Callithrix jacchus: one gene and its partners. The protein of the gene in region 5 interacts with the protein of the main gene of each other region in a biochemical or structural test. Links are inferred from orthologs where the notes say so. Each region holds a gene or a part of one and is shown on either strand. Other genes may lie near its edges. The genes, in order: AHR, FOXO1, TBP, CDKN1A, ESR1, PRMT2 and SRC.

What was found.
Region 1: the proteins of ESR1 (region 5) and AHR form a complex in vitro, tested with the Homo sapiens proteins (4 studies listed by BioGRID, with this or other methods). The link is inferred for Callithrix jacchus from reciprocal best matches to the Homo sapiens genes ESR1 and AHR.
Region 2: the proteins of ESR1 (region 5) and FOXO1 form a complex in vitro, tested with the Homo sapiens proteins (2 studies listed by BioGRID). The link is inferred for Callithrix jacchus from reciprocal best matches to the Homo sapiens genes ESR1 and FOXO1.
Region 3: the proteins of ESR1 (region 5) and TBP form a complex in vitro, tested with the Homo sapiens proteins (2 studies listed by BioGRID). The link is inferred for Callithrix jacchus from reciprocal best matches to the Homo sapiens genes ESR1 and TBP.
Region 4: the proteins of ESR1 (region 5) and CDKN1A form a complex in vitro, tested with the Homo sapiens proteins (2 studies listed by BioGRID). The link is inferred for Callithrix jacchus from reciprocal best matches to the Homo sapiens genes ESR1 and CDKN1A.
Region 6: the proteins of ESR1 (region 5) and PRMT2 form a complex in vitro, tested with the Homo sapiens proteins (2 studies listed by BioGRID and IntAct). The link is inferred for Callithrix jacchus from reciprocal best matches to the Homo sapiens genes ESR1 and PRMT2.
Region 7: the proteins of ESR1 (region 5) and SRC form a complex in vitro, tested with the Homo sapiens proteins (3 studies listed by BioGRID). The link is inferred for Callithrix jacchus from reciprocal best matches to the Homo sapiens genes ESR1 and SRC.

Annotation. Positions count from the first base shown.
Region 1 is NC_133512.1:41,104,486-41,107,985, forward strand, and holds part of AHR (aryl hydrocarbon receptor), read right to left. Parts: intron 2,015-3,500; coding exon 766-2,014; intron 1-765. UniProt on the Homo sapiens protein: Ligand-activated transcription factor that enables cells to adapt to changing conditions by sensing compounds from the environment, diet, microbiome and cellular metabolism, and which plays important roles in development, immunity and cancer.
Region 2 is NC_133506.1:159,848,055-159,852,270, forward strand, and holds the start of FOXO1 (forkhead box protein O1), read right to left. Parts: upstream 2,801-4,216; 5' UTR 2,369-2,800; coding exon 1,742-2,368; intron 1-1,741. UniProt on the Homo sapiens protein: Transcription factor that is the main target of insulin signaling and regulates metabolic homeostasis in response to oxidative stress.
Region 3 is NC_133505.1:177,196,179-177,198,817, reverse strand, and holds the end of TBP (TATA-box-binding protein), read right to left. Parts: intron 1,938-2,639; coding exon 1,843-1,937; intron 1,167-1,842; coding exon 1,087-1,166; 3' UTR 501-1,086; downstream 1-500. UniProt on the Homo sapiens protein: The TFIID basal transcription factor complex plays a major role in the initiation of RNA polymerase II (Pol II)-dependent transcription.
Region 4 is NC_133505.1:44,985,176-44,988,310, reverse strand, and holds part of CDKN1A (cyclin-dependent kinase inhibitor 1), read right to left. Parts: intron 671-3,135; coding exon of another isoform or gene 666-670; coding exon 239-665; intron 1-238. UniProt on the Homo sapiens protein: Plays an important role in controlling cell cycle progression and DNA damage-induced G2 arrest. Involved in p53/TP53 mediated inhibition of cellular proliferation in response to DNA damage.
Region 5 is NC_133505.1:158,660,676-158,664,175, reverse strand, and holds part of ESR1 (estrogen receptor), read right to left. Parts: intron 3,240-3,500; 5' UTR 3,170-3,239; coding exon 2,718-3,169; intron 1-2,717.
Region 6 is NC_133522.1:52,221,362-52,224,861, reverse strand, and holds part of PRMT2 (protein arginine N-methyltransferase 2), read right to left. Parts: intron 1,419-3,500; coding exon 1,257-1,418; intron 329-1,256; coding exon 164-328; intron 1-163. UniProt on the Homo sapiens protein: Arginine methyltransferase that methylates the guanidino nitrogens of arginyl residues in proteins such as STAT3, FBL, histone H4. Acts as a coactivator (with NCOA2) of the androgen receptor (AR)-mediated transactivation.
Region 7 is NC_133506.1:32,821,717-32,825,216, reverse strand, and holds part of SRC (proto-oncogene tyrosine-protein kinase Src), read right to left. Parts: 5' UTR 2,887-3,500; intron 2,603-2,886; 5' UTR 2,595-2,602; coding exon 2,345-2,594; intron 683-2,344; exon of another isoform or gene 682-682; coding exon 582-681; intron 362-581; coding exon of another isoform or gene 313-361; coding exon 295-312; intron 1-294. UniProt on the Homo sapiens protein: Non-receptor protein tyrosine kinase which is activated following engagement of many different classes of cellular receptors including immune response receptors, integrins and other adhesion receptors, receptor protein tyrosine kinases, G protein-coupled receptors as well as cytokine receptors.

The DNA of each region.
Region 1 (3,500 bases), on a different chromosome or scaffold from region 5:
TTTCTGTTACCTTTTTTTTATTTAAGTGATCATTTTTAGATTTAAAGTGTATTCACTGCTAGAAGGATTCTGATGACACATTTAAACAATAAAAATATACTGTCAAGCTTGATTTCCATGACAGAAAGCTAGCTGAGTTACCTCTTTTAAGAAAGCCAGAAAAGAAACAAAGCAATTCTGCCTTAAAGGATAAAATGAAGATAGGGCAGGTAATGTGAGGAATAGCTAGAGAACATGGAGGCCTAGGACTTAATTCCAGGGATATAATCTAGGACAAAGGCATTATAAGAAAGCACACTTACATTTGAGTCTAACTCAATTTCAAACACATCCAAAAAAATAGAGCCGGGAAGAAACTATTCTTAAAAATTGCAATATGTTTATAAAGTTTGAATTTTTAAAAAGCCATATAATTTTTAAAGAATCCAGAAAGAATCAACCAAATTACCCATTTTAAATGTAATACTTTTAAAAACTAATTTCACTTGCTAATTTAGGTCATCTTACATTAAGGACACATTTATGTTGCTTTAGCCCTTGACACCTTTCTCCCTCATGACTCAGGTGAGTGATGTATTAGTAACATACTGGAAAAAGTACAGGCTTATGAAAAAAAAGGTAGTCACAGATATAATGAAAAATGCTGTCTCCATGAATGCTGTAGATAATAGATTAAAATCAGCGGACATAAAAAATGTGTAACATGTCTATTTATACGGTGACAAGAATCACTGAAAGATTCATTCAGTTTGTTAATACCCTTACCTTGTTTAAAAATGCCTGTTGACCTGGCAGTACTGGACTGTACTGCATCTGACCCACATGGGTGTGCTGAGGTTCTGGCTGGCACTGATACATCGACACAGACCCAGCATAACATGTCTGAGGGGTTACTATGGCTGACTGTGGATTTAATCCATGGTGTTGGTTTTCAGGAACTTGTAAACAAGTGACAAATTGTTCTAAACTAGAAGTAGTGGAGTATGGGGATGGTTCAAAACTCCCCATAGGATAGTCCAACTCTGTACATTTGGAATGTTGTGGTAATACAGACTGATTACAGGAAATAAAGTTCTGTGTATAAGGCATAGGATCAATCTCAGATTTGTAGGGAAACTCTTGATTGATCCCATGTACGTCTGAAAAGACATTATACTGTTGGAGGTCTTGCTGAGGACAACTGAAAGGCACAAATTGGGTAGAGTTCCAGTTTGCAAACATGCCATTGACTTGCATATGCTTCATTTTCTGACACAGTTGTTGCTGTGGCTCCACTACTACTTGCTTCTGGTGATGCTGTTGCTGCTGTTGCTGTTCTAGCTGTAGGTGTTCCTGTACCATACAGCTTGAGTTCAGGGCCAGTGACTGTTGCTGTTGGTAATCTGAAGGTACGAAGGCAGACTTATTTAAAGAATCTTGGATATATGTCAGGATTTCATCTGTTAAGTCAATGTCTCTGAAGTCAACCTCACCAGAAAAATCATTTCTGAAAAATTTTTCATTCTGCATGTGTTTGATGTCTTCAAGATCAATGCCTAGGTTTTTCATAATGCTGTATAAGTCAGTGTTTTTACTATCTTGAAAGAGCCCTGGGTGACCTCCAGCAAATGAGTTTACATCCTGAGACTGGTCAATTTGCTCATGTTTCAGGATAGTATCATTTCCCATTGATGCAGTATTATCTTGCCAATTTCTGCATTCATTCATAGATTCATTAAAAAAATTGTTGTCAAAAGGTGCAGTACATGAAGTACTTGAAGCAGGATAGAGATAAATAGACTCATCTTGTTGCATCATGGCAGCCAGGAGGGAACTAGGATTGAGACACTCCTTGTTTAGAGTTGATTTGGTAGCAGAATCTTTTCCACTCGTGCCATTTTTAGTCCTTAGTGGTAAGGGATCCATTATGGCAGGAAAAGGGTTGGTTACTTCATACAATACAGCTTCTCCAGTGGTAAACATAAAAGGCAACTTCGTATTTCGTTTTCGTAAATGCTCATTTCCTTCCTCATCTCTAAAATTGTGTATAAAAAAGTCTTAATAAAAATTATATCATAAACATTTAAAAATAAATATAATTACAAAAAGAAAAACAAGCAAAATACATAATTGAATTCAGAAGGGGACATATTTTATTTTCACCTCAATTATTCTCATGAGTAGTGCCATAAAATTGTTTTTCAGACAAGCATGTTTAAATAATTTAATTGTTAAAAATTAACTTAGTTAATTCCATGGTCAGGTTATATCCCTACCTGACATCCTGTAGAAAAAATAAGTTTGTGTGGAATAAAGATCTACACATAAAAACAGACTATAAGAATTTAGGGGCCAGGTGTGGTGGTACATGCCTGTAATTGCAGCACTTTGGGAGGCAGATGTGTGCGATTTGTTGAGCCCAAGATTTTGAAACCAACCTGGGCAACATGGTGAGACCCCTACCTCTGCAAAATAATAAAAGTTAGCTGGGCATGGTGGCACATGCCTACAGTATTGGCTACTGGTGAAGCTGAGGCAGGAGGATTGCCTGAGCCTGGAGGTTAACCCTAACCCTAACCTTAATGAGCCATATTTGTGCCACTGCATTCCAGCCTAGGTGATAGAGTAAGATCCCATCTCAAAACAAAATTAAAAAGTTTATGAATTAGAAATTTAAGAATCTGAAACAACTAACCTCTCTAGTAAAACCCAGAAACTATAAAGACATTACTGGTATACTTGGTAATATGAAAATTATTTAGTATTAATTAAAGTGTTTGTATTTTTGCAAGAGAATTCTTAAGGCATAAAGAAAATATTTTTAACATATATAATGTATTTATAATATATATATAAAATTTCATATCTATAATAGGTAAAAAGCTCCAATAGAGTCTAAGAGAGAGTCAAGCAACTCAAGAAAAACAGGTAAATGATAATACAAACTTGTAATTCAAAAAAGAAAAGTGTCCTAGAAAGATGTAACAAGATACCCTCCCTCATTAGTAATAAATAAATGAAACAACAAACATGTCTTATAACAGAAGCACACAAAATATCAACACATGTATGGACATATGAACTCCCAAAAGACAGAACATGTATTCTTTACAGGATTACATGGGATATTTTACCAACACAGACCATGTGTTAGATTATAAAATAAGCCACCACAAATTTCAAAAAACCTGAAGTCCACTCAGGGAATGTTTTCTGACTACAATGGAATTAAACTAAAAGTCAATCACAAAAAGGCAACTAGAAAAATCCCCAAACATCAAAAAGTAGAGTAACACCGTATTTATAAATAATTCACTAATAAAAATCAAATGAAAAGAAAATTAGCCAGTATTTTCAATTAAATAATAAAAATAAGACAGCAAAAGATGAGGGTTGTAGTTTAAGTGTTGTACTTAAAGGGAAACTGATATAATGTTTAAGTATATATATTTTTAAAAGTTAGAAAAAATTATATATTATACTCAAAGAAGGTAGAAGGAAGAAAATAATAATGAGCAGAC
Region 2 (4,216 bases), on a different chromosome or scaffold from region 5:
CTCCTCCAGGAGCTTCAATACGGTGTGAGTAACTTAACCTTTTTGACACGCTTTAACCACAGGGACGACACTATGTAAAATAACCTTGGTTTAACAACTGCGCAGCAAACACCAATCTTTATTATGCTATACAGTCGACAAGAGAGGCGAGGAAAGTTTGTTTTAAAAGGTGTTTAGCTCGGCCGGGCGCAGTGGCTCACGCCTGTTATCCCCAACATTTTGGGAGGCCGAGGTGGGCGGATCACGAAGTCAGGAGATCGAGACCATTCTGGTCAACATGGTAAAACGCCGTCTCTACTAAAAATACAAAAATTAGCTGGGCGTGGTGGTTCCTGCCTGTAATCCCGGCTACTCGGAAGGCTGAGGCAGAGAATCGCGTGAACCAGGGAGTCGGAGGTTGCAGTGAGCCAAGATCGCACCACTGCACTCCAGCCTGGCGACAGAGCGAGACTCCGTCTCAAAAAACAGTGTTTACTCAACTAGTCAGCCTTTACAGCAGTTCTGCCACCGGTGACAGTGAGAAACTGTCAGCTTGGGGAGGCCGCGCGGCGACTGGACCTCGCCCCCGGGAAGCCTCCCCGGACCTAGCCGAGGCCCTCCTCGGAGTCGGTAAGTGCCTGCCCCCACGCTGAAGTGCCTCCTGGCCACGTTCTGAAAGGCAAAAATCCTCCTTCCAGGCTCCGCTCCCTCAACGCGCACCGCCACTCCGACTCCGTCAAAACACTGGTCGCAAAGCCCCTCGTCTGGCCCCCAGCTCCCCCATCTGGACCTCCCCGCTCAAGAATAGGGTAGAGCAAGGCAGGAAAAGACGCACACATCCCAGCCCCCGGCACCCCAGGGCAGCCTCTGTGTTTCTAACTAAAAGCCTCGTACCAGGGGCAAGACCAGATTCGGGCGCTTCCCCCATGGGGAAGCGCGGGCCCCAAGGCGCCCGACCCGGACGCGCTGGCCCTTTAAAGGCACTAGCTTCCTGCGCCCAGAGCCCCTCCCTCGTCACCGCCCGCGCCCGCCCCCGCCGAGGGTCACACTTGAACTTTAGCTCGCCCCGCGCGGCCGGGCGCCGGCGCTCCGCAGGCGGTGGCCGCCCCTTCGCACGTGTCGGAGGCGCCACCTCGGGATCGGGACGCCCGGCCCCCTGAACTCGAGGCCACTCCGGAGAAAACCAAAACAAAGCAAAATGCGCACCGCCTCCCGAAACTGCGTGGCCGGACTTACACCGTCCCCAGCCGATCGCGCTCTGCCAGTCCCCTCCACCTGCAGCCCCGTCCCGGGGCAGGGAGGCTCCGGGGACCCTTTCCGTGCCCTCCCCCGCCGCGCCCGGCGGAAACAGCCTCGCGGCGCGGCGGGAGAGGACCCGCCCTCGCCCCGCGGAGGTCAAGGAGGGAAGGGGCAGCCGAAGCAGTCAGCGCGGGCCGTGGGGGTGCCGCTCCCAGCGAACCCCTTTCTCCTTTCACTGGCAAACTTTTCGGCCGCTCTGACGTCCACTTCTTGACGCACGTTCTTTACTTAGTTCCCCAACGAACCCCTGTCCGCGTCCCACGCGGACTCTGGCGCGCGCGCACACCTACTGCGGTCCCGGACGGACCCGGGCGAGCCCACTGCGACCACCGATTCGCGCCCGCCCTCCTAGGCACGCGCTGCCCTCCTGCCCCGCACCCTCGGGCCGAGCAAACCTGCACAGCTGCGCCCTCGCCTGCCCCACCGCGCCCCCAAGGTCCGGCCGCGCGCCGAGGCCGCTCACCTTCCAGCCCGCGGAGCTGTTGCTGTCACCCTTATCCTTGAAGTAGGGCACGCTCTTGACCATCCACTCGTAGATCTGCGACAGCGTGAGCCGCTTCTCCGCCGAACTCTCGATGGCCTTGGTGATGAGGTCAGCGTAGGACAGGTTGCCCCACGCGTTGCGGCGGGACGAGCTGCTCTTGCGCGGCTGTCCCGCGAGCGGCCCGGCGGCGGCGGGGGGCACTGGTGGGTGCTGCGGCAGCGGCCCGGGCGGCGGGGGCTGCGGCGGCGCTGGGTGCAGGCAGCCCGCCTCCGGGCCCTGGAAGTCCCCGCACAGTCCCCCGGCGGCGGCCACGGCAGCCGCCGCCACCGCCGCCGCCACGGAGCCGGGCGCCTGCGGGAAGTCCTCGTTCTCCTCCAGCAGGCTCAGGTTGCTCATGAACTCAGCGCTGACAGCGGCCGCCGAGGCCGAGGGCAGGCCCGCCGCGGCGTCGGGATTGGCAGCCGCGCCGCCCGACGGCGCCGGGCTGGAGGTGGCCGAACTGGACTGGCTAAACTCCGGCCTGGGCAGCGGCCAGGTGCACGAGCGCGGCCGGGGCAGCGGCTCGAAGTCCGGGTCGATCTCCACCACCTGGGGCGCTTCGGCCATGGTGACCCCCGCCCCTCCCCCAGCCGCGAGAGAGCCGAGAGGGGAAGAGCGCAGCACCGGGGGCAGAGGGCGAGGGGGCGCGAAGAGACGGTCCGGGATTTGGGGGGACGAAGCCGGTGCGCCGAGCGGACGGACACTGGGAGGAAGGCGCGGCGGGGTGCAGGCGCGAGCCCAGAACTTAACTTCGCGGGGCCATCCACATCCAGGCTCCTCGGGGTCTGCCGCACGGACTGGACGGCGGGCCGGAGCCGCCGAGCCGGGGCACAGCCTGCGCCGCGCTCCCGCTGACAGGGCCGCGGACGGAAGGACGGACGGACGCCGCGGCCGCTCGCTTTGCCCGGCGGCGCGCCCGCTGCGCTGCTGCCTGTTGAATGTGGCGGCGGCGGCGGCGGCGGCTGCAGCAACTACGAGGCCGCCCGACTTACGGGATCTGCCGCCGCCCCCCGCCCGCGGCGACGCGCGCGCCGGCCCGCCCCTGACCGACAGTTCGCGCAGCCAATGGGCACGCGGCACCGCCGCCCGGGCAGCCAGTGCGCTCCGGGCTGGGCGGGGCCCGGTTTTCCGCCGGGAGGCGGCAGTGGGCTGGTGGGGGTAGCGGGGTGTTTTTCTCTTTCACACACCTTTTTTATTTTTTTTGGATCTCTGTTATTTTCTGGTAATTCTCGAGTGTTTCTGTGATTCTCTCGCCTTCTCAGTGTTTTGATTGCTAGGAAGCAAACCAGCGTGGAGGTGGCGGCGACACTTTGTTTACTACGGAGCTGCAGAGCCGAGTACTCTGGAAGCCCGGGTGGGACGAGGCGCTCGCTACGCCCTGACCTCGGCTGCGGGCCGAGTCCCGCGAGCGGGCAGGGCCGGGGGCCGGGGGCGCGGGGTGGACGGGCGGAGGCGGCCGCGCAGAATTCTACCCAGTAGCTCCCTCCTGGCTCCACCCACGAAGTCTTTGCTGAGCAACGTGGGGAATCGCTGGGTTTTGTTTTGGTTGAATGTTTTCTTTCGCTGCGATCTGTCAAGTCCTCCGGCCCCCGCACGGGCGGCACGCGCCCCCCGCCCCAGGCGCCGCGGCCCCCCGCGGTGGAGTCCGCGCCTAGGGTGCCTTCTCCGCGCCCCGCGCCCACCTGTCCGCACCCCCGGGCTCAGCCTGTGCCTTTCTGTCTAGCTGCGGACGCGTCGCCCAGCCGAGCAGCCCCCAGCCGGATTTACTGTATCCTTGACCTTTTTTAAAGGGCTAAACGTGAGGAACTGGGACTCCGGCGCCCGGAGGAGGTACTCCGGTCTCAGTGCAGACAGGGATCCAAAGGCACCCGCAACCGCCTGCCCTCCGTGGGAACTTCTTCCCCTGGGCGGGAACTTCCAGCTTCGTCCACTGAGTTCAGGGCCCGCAGCGAAGGGCTTAGGAACGCAGTTATCGAGAACCAAGACACTTTACTACCTACCCCTAATTAAATTTAACTGTTTGTTATTTTATATTTACAACGGAAGTGATCGGGTGTTAAGTAAAAACGGCGGGGGGGGGCGGGGGATAGGACCAAAGCCTTGGGGCGCAGCCTGCCCCACCCCCAAGTTCTTGAGGCTACTTGCTGTGTGCGTCAGTCAAACCCCCACCCACACCCCATCTTTCCTCATCTGGGCTGCAGGTCCAGGACATCCTGTCAAGGATCAGTGGGGCCAAAGGTAGGAAGATAATGGCCCTTGTGTCTCAGGGAGCAGAAGAAACAGTTTTCCAGTTTTGTTTTGTTATGCCTTTGCTTTTTTAGGAAGAATATGGAAGGCATTTCCTTTTAGAGGGATGGGACCACTCAGAATAGAAGATGGACAGTAAGGTTTTTAATATCTTGCCCAAAAGGACAG
Region 3 (2,639 bases), about 19 Mb from region 5:
CACCCTAACAATAAAACCTAAGAACCCACACATGTCCACCTGATATTCCATGAGAAAAAAAACAAAAACAAACTGTTACTGCAGAGAGATGGCAACCTGTGGATAGGACAGCAGCTTCCACACCTGAAGGACTCACTCAGAGCCCATCTGTACCACTTACTAGCTGTGTAACTTCAGCCAGGTCCCTCAGCTGGGGCCTGTATCTCCTCACCTCTAATACAGGAACAAAACCTAACTGCAGCTTTGTGAGGATTCCCGGCACTGTATGCAAAGTACCTAGAAAACAACAGTTGCTCAAAATATGGAAGGCAGTAAATACACATTTCCTGAGCAACTGTGAGTTCTTAGATCATTACTGTGTTTTCATTGCAGCATACAATGAAATATTGACTCAAACAAACAAGCAAACACCAAAATGGCTTCAGATGTTATATCTAAAATACAACTTTTTAGAAAACAGTGTGATCACATGACTCTTACAAGGTATCATAACAGCAATCTAACACTTTCATAAACTGCATTTATTGTACAGAGTACTCTGAAGGAAGAAAAAATATGTACAGCCATTCATTTTCATTAACACATGTATTCTGTCCTGCAATACTGGAGAGGCGGAATGTGTCTGGCACAGAAATAACCCCTAGGAGTTATAAATTAGAAAACAACACTTTTTAAAAAGATTTTTACTTTTCTGGTAGAAATATAAAAACTGTGGTTCATGGGGAAAAACATTAAAATTAAAAAGTCCAATCAATTGTAGAGGTGGCTTTAACCTTAAAAGTTTTGTCCCTCAAACCAACTGTCAACAGCAGTGTTTAAAATCTATGTATAAATAAATGGGCAGCGCTGCCCAAATAGCAGCACAGTATGAGCGACTCACAGTCATGCTGCGCGGTGTTCTCAGTGCACAAATAATGCCCCTTCCCGGCATCCCGTGGTGGGCACTTACAGAAGGGCATCACCTGGTGCCACAACCTGCAACTCAGCATCCATCTCCTCACACCACCACCATGTAAAGGTACCAAAACAAACTGATTTGTTTTAAAAAAACAAGTGGGTGGGGGAGGTAAGGGTAGATGACAACCATTACGTCGTTTTCCTGAACCCCTTTAGAATAGGGTAGATGTTTTCAAATGCTTCATAAATTTCTGCTCTGACTTTAGCACCTAAGAAGACAAGTTGGAGTAGAGATAAGAGACTGAAATGGCATTTCTTAACATATTAAGCAGGGAAAATTATTACCTTTAAACAACGCTGCAAGCACAAATCTCAACATACCCAGTCAGATTCAGGCACAGGCATGAAACCACTAATGGTGGAATCGCCTGTCACAATCTTATTTTGGTTTATAAAACAGTACTTTTAAACAGTCATTTTAGTGATTCTAGTGTCTCATTCTATAGCTCAAGAGGCATGTCCTCATACTTCTCTCCTTGGTCCTGAACCAGGCCATAAACCAAGCAGAACAGCAATGAAAACAACCAAATCTTATTCTCCCAATTGCTGTCTTCAACTAAGCTCTTTTCTGAATCTTCCTTTCTTGTCTTGTCATCATATTGCTGAAGAATCCTAAAGCTTCAGATAACTAATTCCAAGTGAAAACGCCATCTTTTATTCAATACAGTGCTCACCTCCCGCTGTAAATGAAGTCTACTTGCAGGGCTGTGGTCAGACTTCCCTGCTCTCAATGTGGCTCTAGTGGGCATGTTTCTCATCAGACTTTGGGTGGGAGGCCTTTGTAAAAGAAGCTAGCCCACTGTGCCAACAGGGAAATTTATTTTCAGCACTGACAAAATGCCATAACTTACAAACATTCAGATACCACTTTCTGTTACAACTTACCTGTTAATACAACTTTTCCAGAAACAAAAATAAGAAGAACAATTCTGGGTTTGATCATTCTGTAGATTAAACCAGGAAATAACTCAGGCTCATAACTGGAAGGAAAATTGTGAAAACAGTTTAGAAATTAAGAGACTTCCATGCTTTTAGATAAAATGAGGACCTGTACAAGGAAAAATAACTGAATAAACAAACAAACTAGTCAATAGGTAAAGCACAGTTCTTCAAGCAACATCAAGGACAGAATAATTAAAGCCACTGAGGCCGACTTGCAGTCATCACTTGATAACCACTGGATGGGAGGCTATTTGTCCTTTTATACTTTACTCTATTTCTATTCAATCTGGATTTTCTGATTTAAGAAAAAGAGCCCTGTATTTATGTCTGCAGTCTCTGATGACAATCATTTACTTTTACAGTCCTAATAATCATTTACTTCTAAGATCTGATACTGACAGTTTAACTGTTAATCATATCTCACCTCCTTAAATTGAAATATTCTCTAGCTGTTAACTGTGGTCAGGAAATTTAACCAAAGTGATATACTAGTCTGTGAATTAACTTATACCTGATTAAGCTGTCTGACTGAATGGACTATTGGTGTGTGTGGGGGTATATATATTAAGAATTATAAGAATTAAGAATCTCCTCCTAGTTTTAAGTGATTCTCCTGCTTTAACCTCCCGTGTAGCTGGGATTACAGGTGTGTACCACCACGTCCAGCTAATTTTGTATTTTCAGTAGACACAGGTTTCACCATGTTGGCCAGGCTGCTCTTGAACTCCTGACCTCAAGTG
Region 4 (3,135 bases), about 110 Mb from region 5:
ACATTGCATAAGGACTAAATAAATCTACCTTAGAAGCCTGGCAAAAGGCCTGGCATAATATAAGGTCCCCACCAATGTTAGCTAGTTGGTCTTGGCTGCCTACTTGCTGTGTGACCTCTGGGTCTGTTCCCTTCTACCTAAGGAGCACACTAGACCAGGACCGGACAGGTCAGCCCTTGGACCATGGACTCTGAGAATCCTGGTCCCTTACAATGTCCTTCCCTGCACCTGTCCTCACCTGTCATGCTGGTCTGCCGCCGTTTTCGACCCTCAGAGTCTCCAGGTCCACCTGGGGACTCCTCAGGCCGCTCCCCTGAGTGAGGCATTAGGGTGCAAGACAGCGACAGGTCCACGTGGTCTTCCTCCGCTGTCCCCTGCAGCAGAGCAGGCGAGGTGCCAGGCCGCCTGCCTCCTCCCAGGGGCCCTTTGGGAAGGCAGATCTTGGGCAGGCCAAGGCCCCACACACGCTCCCAGGCGAAGTCACCCTCCAGTGGTGTCTCAGTGACAAAGTCGAAGTTCCATCGCTCACGGGCCTCCTTGATGCAGCCTGCCATCAGTGCATCACAGTCGCGTCTCAGCTGCTCGCTGTCCACTGGGCCGAAGAGGCAGCGGCGGGCCTTGCTGCTGGATGGGTTCGGACGGACATCCCCAGCCTGTTCTGACATGGTGCCTGCAGCAGAGACACAAGGAAGGCCCTGGTCACCGCGGAAACTGGACACTACACTACCTGGCTGGGCTTTGCTGTGCCACCTCATGAGGTCTTCCTACCACAGGGTCTCTCTGACTCCTTCCAGCTGGTCTTCCTGCCTCCATCTCACAGGAGGCCTGACCCCCACCAGCAGAGCTCAGCCAGCCTGTCACCCCAAGGTCACTGGGGGAGCAGGCAGCTGAAGGGCAAGCTAATGTCAACAAAGTCAAGTTTATTGCAAAAGCGAGGATCAGGGTCCTGTTTACCACCAGGTATTATCAGCTAAAATCAATTTGTTTTCCCCCCGAGGTGTCCCTCATGGGTGTGAATGCCCCCAAATACGTGTGAATTGCCAGAGTCCAGCAGTTTCTGAATCCCAGCCCTGGCCAGGAGGTCAGTTCCCAAATAAACAGTCTGACAGTTCCTCCAGCCTCCTGAACCCCCACCCAGATGCCCGAGTAGGGTAACCCTACTCAGCCGAGTAAAAGTACCCTGGACTCTGGGGCAAAAAGCACCTGGGTTGTGGTCCTAGCTCTGCCACTTACTACCTAAGTTTTAAAAAGCCACTTACTGTCTCTAGGTCTCAGTTTCCTCACCCATAAAGGGGGCCATGTGCAAGTTTAAAGAGCATGGCTGGGCTGGGCATGGTGGCTCACGCCTGTAATCCCAGCACTTTGGGAGGCCAAGGTGGGCGGATCACCTGAGGTCCAGAGTTTGAGATCAGCCTGACAAACATGGAGAAATGCCATCTCTACTAAAAATACAAAATAAGCTGGGTGTGGTGGCACATGCCTCTAATCCCAGCTACTCAGGAGGCTGAGCCAGGAGAATCTCTCAAATCCAGGAGGCGAAGGTTGTGGTGAGCCAAAATCGTGCCATTGCACTCCAGCCTCGGCAACAAGAGCAAAACTCTGTCTCAAAAAAAAAAAAAAAAAAGAGCATGGCTGTGGACACATACTCAAGCAATTGATTGGGGAGTCCACCCAGCAAGGCAGATGGAACAGAGCTGAATGAAAGGCTGTATCTTGGGGGCTAAGCGGAAAGGCTCTGGAGCCAGATCGCCTGGGTTGAAGTCCAGGTTTTACTAAATGACCCTGGACAAGCAACTTAACTTGTCTGAGCTCTATTTTCCTCATCTGTGAAATGGAGATAGTAATGGTGACTGTCTCAGAGGATAGATGTGAGGATTAACTGAGTTAATGTAGGTAAGGTGCCAGCAGCACTTCATATACAGAAGTGCTTGGAAAATGGAAGTGTGATTATTTCTGTCTGCCTTCAGTTTTACTGAGCCTCCTCCCTATCACTTCCCCCTGCCAATGATCCCCTTCAGACAGCAGCTGACAGGTGCTGTAGGCTGAAGCCCTTTCCCAAGGATGTCATCAGGCGGGTGGCCTAGGGGTAAGGAGGGGCTGGGCGGGGCTGGGCAGGGCGGGGCAGAAGATAATTTCTCCCAGGCTGAGCCACATCCTGCCAGGCACATCAGGTGATCTGAAGTCTAGACACCTGGCAGCCCCTGCCCGGTGCTGCCTGTGTCCAAGGAACTCGTTTTGCAGACAAAGAAAATTAAAGGTGGCTGATCTACCTGGCTCCTCTCCTCCCACTTCAGGAGAGGGAAAACCAAGGGTGAGTTTGCCAATGAGGGAGCCCTGGCACCTAGCTGCCCGCTCTGGCTTGACTCCAGGACTGAGGGACTGCACGACCTTGGCAGCAACTGGGTTTTCCTAGGGACAAGTCCCAACTTGCAGGCTCTAGGGGGTGAAATCTCTGCTGAGTGTTCCTGAGGCAGGAAGCCTGGGACACATGCCACATCTGCTCCATCCCACCTCACCCCACTGCTTGTGATCAGTTTCACGTCCCAGCTGGTTGGGAGAGGAGGTGCTTGGTAACCTCACACCAAGTTTAAAGGGCAGGAGATGGAAGAGATACGAGACTTGCCCCCAAGTCATACAGCTAAAAAGGCCAAAGGCCACTGCCCCATAAAGGAGTCACACAGTACAGTGGACAGAGCCCTCAAGGAACCTCTGTCTACCCTCTCCTAGGCATGAGTTGGGATTCATTTGTATATTTTCATGTATGGGGGCTGTTCTAAGCAGTTTAAAAATGTCAATCCTCTAAAAAGTGAATAGCTATTTGCTCCCTTTTTACAGCAGAGGTAACAAAGGCTCAGAGAAGTTAAGCAACTTGTCCAGTGTCACACAGTTCATAAATGGCAGAGTCAGGATCTGAACACAGGCCTGTTTGCCCTGAGTCCTGTGCTCTAGTATTGAACCTACTCCCTCTCTAATTTTGAGGTTTCTTAACCAGAGAGTCCCATCAGAATCAGTTGGGGAGGCCAGGGGCAGTGGCTCACACCTGTAATCTAATACTCTGGGAGGCTAAGGTGGGGGAATCATTTGAGCCCAGGGGTTCAAGACCAGCCTGAGCAACACAGAGAGACCCTATCTCTA
Region 5 (3,500 bases):
GGAAGAAAGTAACCATAGCATCTCAAAGCTAAATGATGTGACCCGCACGTAAATTCTCTGAACATCCAGTATGACACTCAGGAGGACAGTACAAATAAAAAAGCTAAGAATCACATAGTAAAGCTTAGCCGAACTGACTAAAGGCACCAGCCTAATTTGTAAGGTAAAAATAAGAATAATCAAAATAGCATTTTGGTTTGTATAGATAAAAACAACTATACAGTTGCCTGATTTTTTATTTTCCACTGAATATATAATATTTTAGGCCATTAGCTCTCTTTTTCTTTGAATTCAATCCACAGTAAGAAATACATTTTACATCACAATCAGCACACAGAAGCATGTATAATTAAAACAGATTTTCAGGAAACAAAACTTATCCTTACTAAATACCACACATTCTGATATTTTCTATTATATTCCTTTCTGTTTTATTCCTTTTAAAAGAATATCCTAGACTCACTAAACTGGTTTCATGACCCTCTGGGTCATGACAAGCAGTTTGAAAATACTGCTTTCAGTCTCAAAACTTTTGATAACTACTTAAGAAACGTAAAGTTCCCTAAAAGAGGCTAACCGATCCTTTCCTTTACACTCAGAGTTACTTAAGCAGAAAAACTAAGAGGGGAAAAATGCTAAATAACATCTGTCCTTATGAAGAATTGCATAGATCCTTCTTTTCCTTGCTGGTTAATAAGAGGCAGAATTCTAACAACAGAGGAAAGACTTTCCAGGAAACAAAACACAGGAAAAACTGAAAATTTCTAAAACTGAATTTCCACACAGAGTCCTATTTTTGTAAGTTTTTTTTTAAACTTTTAAGTTCCTTGTCTTTTTTATTATTCTAAGAGTATCTGAATATCATTTGATGCAAAAAAAAATGTAAGATAGGGCATATTACACTGATACTGCTTATCACTGGGATGATGAACAATTTTGAAAAAGATGTGATCCCCTCTGTATTTGACCAGATTCACTTCGTAATTATTAGCAAGGCAGTAAATAATCCACCAAGGAGCAGTCTCATTAGTGCCCATTGAAATTCAGTGGCATTAATTTGCAATAAAAGAACTGAAAATTAAATAGGAAAAAATGGTTTCTGGATTCCATCATAAGGTTATGGAATTCACATCATACCAATGCCTTCCTTCACATCAAGGAGTTTAGAATGTTGTGTGGAATTAGACTTAATAGCTGTATTTTATTCTTCCATTTAAAAAAAAGGTGGGCAGAAGAAATCCTTTCTCTCTATTTTAATCCTAAATTAAAAGAAGTAAAATTAATTTGAAATACGCCAACTTTTAAAAGTTTTGTTCATTGTTTGTCTTTTATGTAAAGACAGCTTGAACCTGTGTGGCTGTGGGATGTTCTAAATTCCTCTAAAGTGGCTGAAGATGCACGCTGGAAACCCCCAGAATCTGCCCTTCAGCACCTTCTGGGACCAACCTGCACCTTAGTCCCCTTCTAAGATCCTTCTGCTATAAAGATCCCTGGAAATAGAACACTGAACAAAAAATGGTCCACAGCTTACAAAGCAGAAAGATGTGGGGACACCAGTCCAGACACCAGTGTACAGTTGGGAAATGCCTAATTCTGCACCAGCCATGTGGTGCCCTGAAGCTCCCAAACCCAGTCCAGGGTACACCTGTCCTGTGGCCACCTAGGCAGGTGTTCACCGGAAACACCCACCTAATCCCTCTGCAGGCCCATCAGGAAAAAAAAAAAAAAAAAAAAAGGAGAAACTGGACAAGGGAAAATGGGAGGAATGGGAGAGGGAGACAGAACAACTCTTGTTGGAAAAAAAAATTAAAAGGAGTATACAAAACCTTCACATCGAAGTCACAAAGTGTTCTCCCATGTCCTGGACCGGCCGCGCTCCTTCCACAGTGGCTGCGAGGCGCAGACCCCGCTGACCCCGTAGGACACTCCGGGGTATTCTCCCCAGATGGGACAGGCTCGTCCCTGGGCTGCCGGGAGATTATTTTTAAGCATTCGTGCTTCCATACGGCTAATTTTAAAATCGCGGGACACCTACAAATTTCCGGCTGTCAGAAGTCACATGCCAGCCACCGGCTCCAGCGCGGACTCAGACAGCTAACTCTGAAATCAGAAACTTGCTGTGACCCATTCAACTCCCAATCGCTTTCTAAAACCCCAGGACGTGGGGTGGGGAGGAGGGGAATCGCTTCCCAGAAAGTCATCACAGCAGACAAATTTCCAATCAAAGACTCTAAATGAAAGGAAATTTGGGGGCCACATTAAACAAAAACATTAAAAGGCTAAATAAAACTCCGCTGAGCTCCGCTAACTCCAAACAACCCCAGCTTTAAATGCCAAGCGCGGGACCTTCCCAAGTGACTCAAGGCACCTCATGTTTATTTGCCTGGAGGTGTTTTCCCCCACAAATAACTGCTGCTTTGTCTGGTTTTCCAACGTGTGTTTAGTTAGGAAGCCCCGGGCGTTCAGGTCTGCCTCTCGCACCGACTGTAGATGGGTGGAGAGCGCGTTTTTTTCAGCTGCCCTGCGAGAGAACTTGGCTCTGAACGCATCGCGGGCTGCACGCAGAACCCCCGGGCGAGCTGCACGCCCCGGGTTCCCTGAGCGCGCCCTCGGGTCGCGCGTCCCGCGGCTCCCTCGGCTCCCCCGGCTCCCCCGGCTCCCTCCCTCCCGCCGGGCGCGGCGGCCACCCCGACGACGGGCGGCGCGGGCGCGGGTACCTGTAGAACGCCGGCGGGCCGGCCTCGCGCACCGTGTAGCCGCTGGGCTCGTTCTCCAGGTAGTAGGGCACCTGCTGGCCGTGGGGCTGCAGGAAGGGCGACAGCTGCGGCGGCGGGTGCAGCAGCATCAGCGGGCTCGGAGACACGCTGTTGAGTGTGGGGAACCCCCCCAGGCCGTTGGAGCCGAACGCCGCCGCCTCGGACCCGGGGCCATAAGGGAGGCCAGACTGGCCATAGACCTGCGCGTTGGCGGCGGCCGCGGCGTTGAACTCGTAGGCGGCGCCCTCGGGGTAGTTGTACACGGCGGGCTTGCCGCTGTCCACGTACACCTCGCCCAGGGGCCGCTCCAGGGGGATCTTGAGCTGCGGACGATTCAGGGGCTCCAGCTCGTTCCCCTGGATCTGGTGCAGAAGGGCCATCCCGGACGCTTTGGTGTGAAGGGTCATGGTCATGGTCCGAGGCCGCCGGCAGGGCGCAGATCGGATCCCCGCAGTGCTGAAGGCTCAGAAGCCGTTGGGCCACCTGGAAAAAGAGCACAGCCCGCGGTTAGAGGCGGCGCAGCGCATGTCCTGCCGAGACGCGACTCGAGCTCGGGCCCCGGCCCTGCCCCGGGAGCCGGAGGGTCCGGTGGAGTCTGGCGACCCGATGGGAGCAAGTGCAGTCCCGGGACCAACGCCCTCCGCCAGCTCCCGCGCTCCCGGGCCTCCAACTTTAAGTACTGGTCTCCCGAGCTCATATGCATTACAAAGGTGCTGGAAGATGGCCAGGGACTGTTGCCTTGCC
Region 6 (3,500 bases), on a different chromosome or scaffold from region 5:
ACTGAGCCAATGTCCACACAAGAAATTAATCATACCTCACATTAGGGGAAAAAATCAAAATGAATCACGTGTCACTCTTGAGATCCTGAGGTTGGCCCAGCCAAGCCTGTGCTCAGAAGCCCCCCGAACCCCGGCCCCCCGCTGCCCGCACGCCCGCCCTCACCAGCAGGCAGGTCCCCATCCACTCGGACACCAGCACATCCACCTTCTCAGGGAGCACCACATCCTCCACCTTCTGCTGGAACACAGTGATGATGTCGGCGAAGCCATTCTGCAGGACCAGCTGCCCCGTGTGCTGTGCCATCTCGCTGGCCTCCACCGCGTACACCTGCAGCAGAAGCACCATCAGTGCATGCCCGGCCTGCATGGGGCCCGTCATCCACTCTCTCCTGAGTCAACACCACCAGCACCATGAGAAACGGTCAACAACACAACAGGGAAGCAGCATTCCAGACAGCCGGAGACAGCGAGGGCTGGGCCACACCTGCCCCTCCGGGATACCTAGAAAGGTGCCACCTCTAACCCTCCCGACTGCCCCTACCTCCTACACAAGACGCAGACGCAGGGCTGCAGGTGGCCTGAAGACTCGAATGCCCGGGCTGGCTGCCACACACACAGCAAGCTTAATCCATGACTGGCACAGCGAGTGCTGAGCACCCAAGTGACAGTGCTGGTCTGTGCCACATCTGAGGCCTGTGAGACAGTTTCAAACCCAGGTTCATAGGGAAGGGTCTGGTGGGAAGCGCCCAAGCGCTGGGTCCTGCAGAGCATGGCCCTGGGTGGTCACTGTGCTGAGATCCCACCCACCATGTCAGGAGCCTCCAAGGCTGCTGTTTGGCTCAGCTAGCACAGCACAGATGGCCAAAGAAGGGTAGGAAGGGGGCCAGCATGTGGATTCATCACATCCCCATGAGGCTGTCCACAGCCAAGGCCAAGCACAGACATGTGGGTGCACCTGTTTCTCTACTCAACTGAAATAAATGTCTCACAGAACATACCCTGCCCCATGCAATTCATGGGATATTTTCTATTCTGCCCTGTTCCTGTCCATGCTGTTTGTGGCTCTTTATGCCGGCGCCACAGCCTCTAGCATGGAGTCTCAACACTGCTGTTTTACCGACCCTGAGCCCCACGTGCAAGGACGTAGTCACCAGTGAGCCCCCAACAGCACAGGGTCACGAGTCGGCATCTCAGAGGCCATGTCGGACATCACCGGCCTTGACGCACACCTGGGACAAGCTGGAGACCCCACTCACCACTTTAGGCCGTGCATAATGTGCGCAGAAAAGACTGATGATCCCAGTGCCACAGCCGACGTCCAGGATGACCTTGTCCGTCAGGGACTCCTTGTTCTGCAGGATGACACTGTGGTACTTAGTTGTGCGCGGCTGGTCTGCCAACATTTCCAAGTGCAGTTTCTGGGAGAAATGCACATTCAGAATCACTGCCTTGACCCAGAGCCATGCCGAGTCCTGACTGAGATGAGGGTCAGGGCCACAGCTGATGACGCTTGACCCTGCCACCCCATCTGAAAAGAGCAAAAATACAGGCCTGTGAGTCCCTCAGCTCAGCACAGCATGGCCGGCAAGCAGAGAGGCAAGAGGGACCGCTGCACATAGGGGTGCAATGTCGCCTGGACCACCCATGCCCACCTGAGGCAGGAGGGACCACCGCAACCCAACCAGACTCCCCAGTGCCAGGTGTCTGACTAGAGAAAACTGCGGATACGCCATGGGAGAAACGCCAGCGCAGGTGGGCAGGGGGTCCCCCAAAGTCCTCTGTCCATGAACTTGCCCCTCATGTCCTGAGGGATAAGCGAGAGGCCCAGCCATTTCCTGAGGGAGAAAAATGCCTGAAACCCAAGGATACTCACATGAGAATCAGCCATCCCGCAAGGAGGCAGAGAGAGGCTTGCTCAGGGCAGCCTGAAAAGCCATGGGCTGCAGGTAAGGCTGCACCCCTCCCACCAAGACTCTCAAGCTACAGAAGGCCCAGCCTAGAAACAGCATCACCAGGAAGAAGACAGGTAGCAGGCGGGAGCAGAGTGAGGACAGCGCCCAGACCAGGAGCCTGCACAAGGTCCTCAGAGTGAGGACAGCCAGCAGACAGGAGCCTGCACAAGGTCCTCAGAGCTCACCATGGAGCCTCCCAAGACTCTGCAGAATAAAAAACAAAGGGACCGGCAGGAGGAGGTGGGGGGCATAGACCACAAAGCAAGGCCCAATTCTCCTGCCCGGAAGCAAAGGATGGGAGAGGCCTATGGTGCCAACACCCATGAAGACAGAGCAGGAGCAGCTGCGTCAGCACCAACAGAACCCAGTTCAGAGCAACACGTCAACACAGAATCAATTCACCCAGAGCACGTGATTATTCTAAATACTTCTGTACCTAATAACAGGTCTTCAGAATACACACAGCAAATCCAATACAGATGCAAGAAGAAACAGACAAATTCACAATTATCGTCAGAGATTTCAACACTGCGCTCTCAGTAACTGACAGAAATAGAAAAATCAGTAAGACTGTGGAAGGCCTGACACTTCACCCAACCCCTTGTAACAGTCATAATAAAAAATGTCTACGAATAGATTTAACAAGAAAGGTGCACAACCGTGTATGAGACAAACCTTAAAATGCTAAGAGATATTAAACAAAGCTTAACTAACAGGAAACTGAGAGTCAACGTTATAGACACGTCATTTCTCCCAAAATTAACATCAACATTCCATGCAGTGCCTACTAAAATGCCAGCCAATCTGCATGGAGGAGGAAGCACAACAAAATGACAATAAAAACAGTTTCAAAACAAGAAGTGCCCAAGGCTAATGAGGAGAATGCTTTTTAAAAAAAGTGCGGGGGGGACTGCTGGAGACCTAGCTCTTGCAGATCCTACAAAGGTGCAATGATGAAGCACCGGGCGCCGCAGAGAAGTAAACAGACCAGTGAGTCAACAGGAATTCTCAAGCAGACCCCTGACATCCAGAGCACCACAAACACAGCATTTCACATCAGTGGGAAGGAACCGTCCAGTAACGGAGGCTGGGGTGGCTGGATATTTGTGGGCATAAATAAGGGTGGAATTTTACATTATATTTTTTATAACAAATAAATTCAAGATTGATTTAAAATCTCATTGTTTAAAAGAGGATAAGGCCAGGTGGGGTGCCTCACCCCTATAATCCCCGCACTTTGGGAAGCTGAGGTGACAGGATCCCCTAATCCAGGAACCCACAGTAAGCTATGACTTAACAAAGTGACCCCATCCCTAAAAAACATAAAAAGTAAAAATAAAATAACACAGAATCAAAAAAGGTGTGGGTATTTATAATCTTACGGCGAGGAAAGGTTTTTCACAAAGGAAAGAACAACCTATTCGGCTATACAAAGAAAAATGTTCTGTGGGGGAAAAAATTCACAAAGTCACAAAAATTCACAAATTCAGGCTAAATTACTTAACATATGAATCAACAAAAATCAAAAGAAATGGACAAATAATATGA
Region 7 (3,500 bases), on a different chromosome or scaffold from region 5:
GCCTGCATGCAGCAGACATTTGGGTGGGCTGATGGGGCAGAATGGAAGGGTGGGTGAGTAGGGAGGGGGATGGGAGGAAGTGTGCAGCAGAGCGCAATGGAGGGGCCCCTGATCACAGCCTGGGGTTACGGTCCAGGACCTGGTCACACTGGTGGTGGAGAGAGGAGAAGCTGGGAGGTGAGGAGCAGCCAGAGAGCCGGAGACCACAGGCAGGGAGAGGAAGCACATGCAGACAGCGGCCCCGCCCCCTGAGAAGCACCCACCCAGCCCGCCACCCACGGAGCACGTACACACCTGACATCCACCTTCCTCCTAAGGGCCAGCAAGAGAGAAGCAGAGAGAGGGAGAAGCTGAGAGAGGGCTGGAGAGAGCAAGCGAGAGCCAGGGATTGGGAGGAGTTTCCCGAGGCTGGGGAGACAGCAGGTGCTGCCCAGGGCAGGAGAGCAGCAGGTGCCTGGCTCCCTCCGTGCTGCCCTGGGCTCTGCACTGCGCTGCCCCGATGGCAGATTCTGCATCAGCCCCCACCAGCTTTCAGGTTCCAGCACCCAGCCCTGAGGGGCAATGGGGAAGGGGCCACTCACGTGTTGTTGACGATCTGGAGCCGCTCGCCTTTCTTGAAGGACAGGTCTGTCTCCGTCCTAGACTCATAGTCATAGAGGGCCACAAAGGTGGTCACTCCACCTGCAGAGAGGGGTGGGGTACGTCAGAACAGTGGGGCCACGGCCAGGCAAGGCGTGGACAGGAGGGTCCTGAGCCCAGGAGTGGGGGTTTGTCTCCCACACGCCACAAGTGCCCAGCCCAAAGACACGGTCGCGTTCAGTGAGGATGGACCTGTGCACGTGTCCACCGCATCCGTGTGTCTGCGAATCCCTGCAAGGCCCTGTGGGGGCATGAGAGTCCCTCCCTGTCTGCATGCACCCCAGGGGCTTTGGGCAGTGCTAGGTGCTGGCTTATCTGTTTGGTGCCTGTCTTGCTCTAGGACCAGAAGTACCCAATAGCAAGCATCTCTGTTTTGTTCCCAGAGTCAAGCACATAGTAGGTGCTCAAGAGAGAGCTGTGGGCTGGATGCAGCAGTGAATGAAGACCACTGCACCAGGGAAGCTTGCTCTCTCGCTCAAGCTTGTCACTCTGGGCACTCCTGGGTGTCCAGGAAGATTTGGCTCCTAGTAACTGCCCCCTCAAAAAGCCCCCCCATGCCTCCATTTTAAGCTACAGCCTTCACCTCCACACATCCCCCAGTCCTCCCTCCCTCCCTGCCCGTTTTGCACCTTTGCGGCAGCACCACTTCTAACACCCTGCACAGCCTGCACACCTGCCCTTTGCTTCCCTCCCCCATGTGGGTTCTGTCTGCACTGCTGGGTCCCGGGCAGCAGAGGAGACCTGGCTCGTAGTCGGGCTCCACCTAAACTTGAACAAATGAATGGTGTGTCTGTGGGTCTGTCTCACTTGGGCATGCGTCTGAGGGGTCCAGGGCTGTCAGTGTGTCTCTGCATGCCTGCATGTTCTCAATGCACATGTGTGCATCTGTCGTCTGCGCGGCCACGATGGTGATTTCCAGCTGCGCCTGTCTGTGTCCTGTGTGTGTCTCTGAATGAGCGTCTGACGGCATGTACGTCTGTCTTCCTCTAGGAGCGTGAGGTCACCTATGCATGTGAGTTTGCGTCTGGGTACGTCTGCTTTGGGTATGTATCTGCGAGTGTCTGTGACCCTGCCTCCACTCCGCACGTGTGCGTGTCCGGGGCAGGGGTGCAGACGCGTGTGAGCGTGTGGGGAGAGTGCACCGGTCTGAGTGAAGCCTGCGTGGAGTGTCTGGGCCACAGACGCGGCTCTCCAAACGGCCCTCGACGGGGGCTGCCGTGCCCGCAGACCGCCAGCAGAGGGCGCACAGGCGCATGCATCCTGGCGCGGGCCCAACCCGGGCCGCCGGCGCCCGGTTCCCCGAGCAATCCTGCGGCCCCTCCGCCGCACGCAGGTCGCACTTCCCTACTCATCTCTGGGCCTCTGGGCGGACCCGGGCAACGAAAAAGGCCTGGGCGCCAGGCAGCAGCCTCAGGCCCGGTCCCCGCGCCGCCCCCCTCTCTGGGCCTCAACGTCCCACTAAGACACCACCACCAGTCCCCGCGTCCTCTGCGCCTACTCCACCCCAAAGGCGGCGGCGGCGGCGCTGGGGAACTCGCTGTGGGCACGGCCCTCCCGGCACACCCAGGTCACCCAGGGGCGAGCCTCCTGGCGGGAAGAAGGGCCCGCACAGAGGGGGCGATCCCGGGCACGCCGCCCCGCCGCCGCCGCCGCCGCCCCGCTGTGGCCCAGCAGGGCGAGGACCCTGCGCCGCCCGCGCACTGACCGGCCAGCGGGCCCGCCCTCTGCGGGGAGGTGACGGTGTCCGAGGAGTTGAAGCCTCCGAACAGCTTGGGCTCGGCGGCCGCGGGGGCGAAGGCCGCGCTGGGACCGCGGTGGCCGTCGGCCGAGGCTGGCTTGCTGGGGGTCTGCGAAGCGGGGAAAGCGCCCCCGCCGGCTCCGTGCGCGTTCTCGGAGGGCTCCAGGCTGCGGCGCCGCTGGCTGGCATCCTTGGGCTTGCTCTTGTTGCTGCCCATGGTCCTGGCTGGAGAGAGAGGGGACCCTGGAGTGGAGGAGACGCTAGGACAGGCAGGGCTGCCGGGACCCCTTGGCCGGCCTCCCTCCCACCCAATCCACAGCTGGGGAAAACGAGGCCCAAAGAGGGGCACCAGGGCCAGGCGCGGTGGCTCACGCCTGTAATCCCAGCACTTTGGGAGGCCGAGGTGGGCAGATTACTTGAGGTCTAGAGTTCAAGACCAGCCTGGCCAACATGCAGAAACCTTGTCTCTACTAAAAATACAAAAACTAGCCGGGCATGGTGGCACGAACCTGTAGTCCCAGCTACTCAGGAGGCTGAGGCAGGAGAATTGCTTGAACCTGGGACGGAGGCTGCAGTGAGCCAAGATCCTCCCAGTGCACTCCAGCTTGGGCAACAGAGCAAGACTCCGTCAAGAAAGAAAAGAAAAGAGAAAAGGGAAGAAAGGAAGATAAAAAGAAAAAGAAAAAAAAGGCGGTGGGCACCAGCCTCTTTGGATGAGTTGGCCTCTCAGAACCTCAGTATCTTCATCTGTAAAATGAGCTTAAGGATGGCATCCATCCATAAAGGGCTTCCTCCATCCAGGGCCAGGAACGGAAGAAATGCCTCATAATCAGAAGCCCTGACCTTACCCACCCACCTCTCCCTGAGTCACTGTTTCCCTTTCTCCTGGTCAGGGACAGTATCTGACCCACACCTGTGTCCCAGGCACCTAGCACATGGAGGGGGCTCACTGAGGATTCGTTGAATAAATATGTGTCCGACGCTGAGGAAAGGTGCTAAAAGTGGCCATATAGCGGCAGGTTTGAAGGAGAGATGGCTGGAAGATCACTGCAGCCACAAGACTTTCGCACATGTGGTTCCCACTGCCCAAATGCTCTTCCCTGGCCACTTCACCAGGGTAACT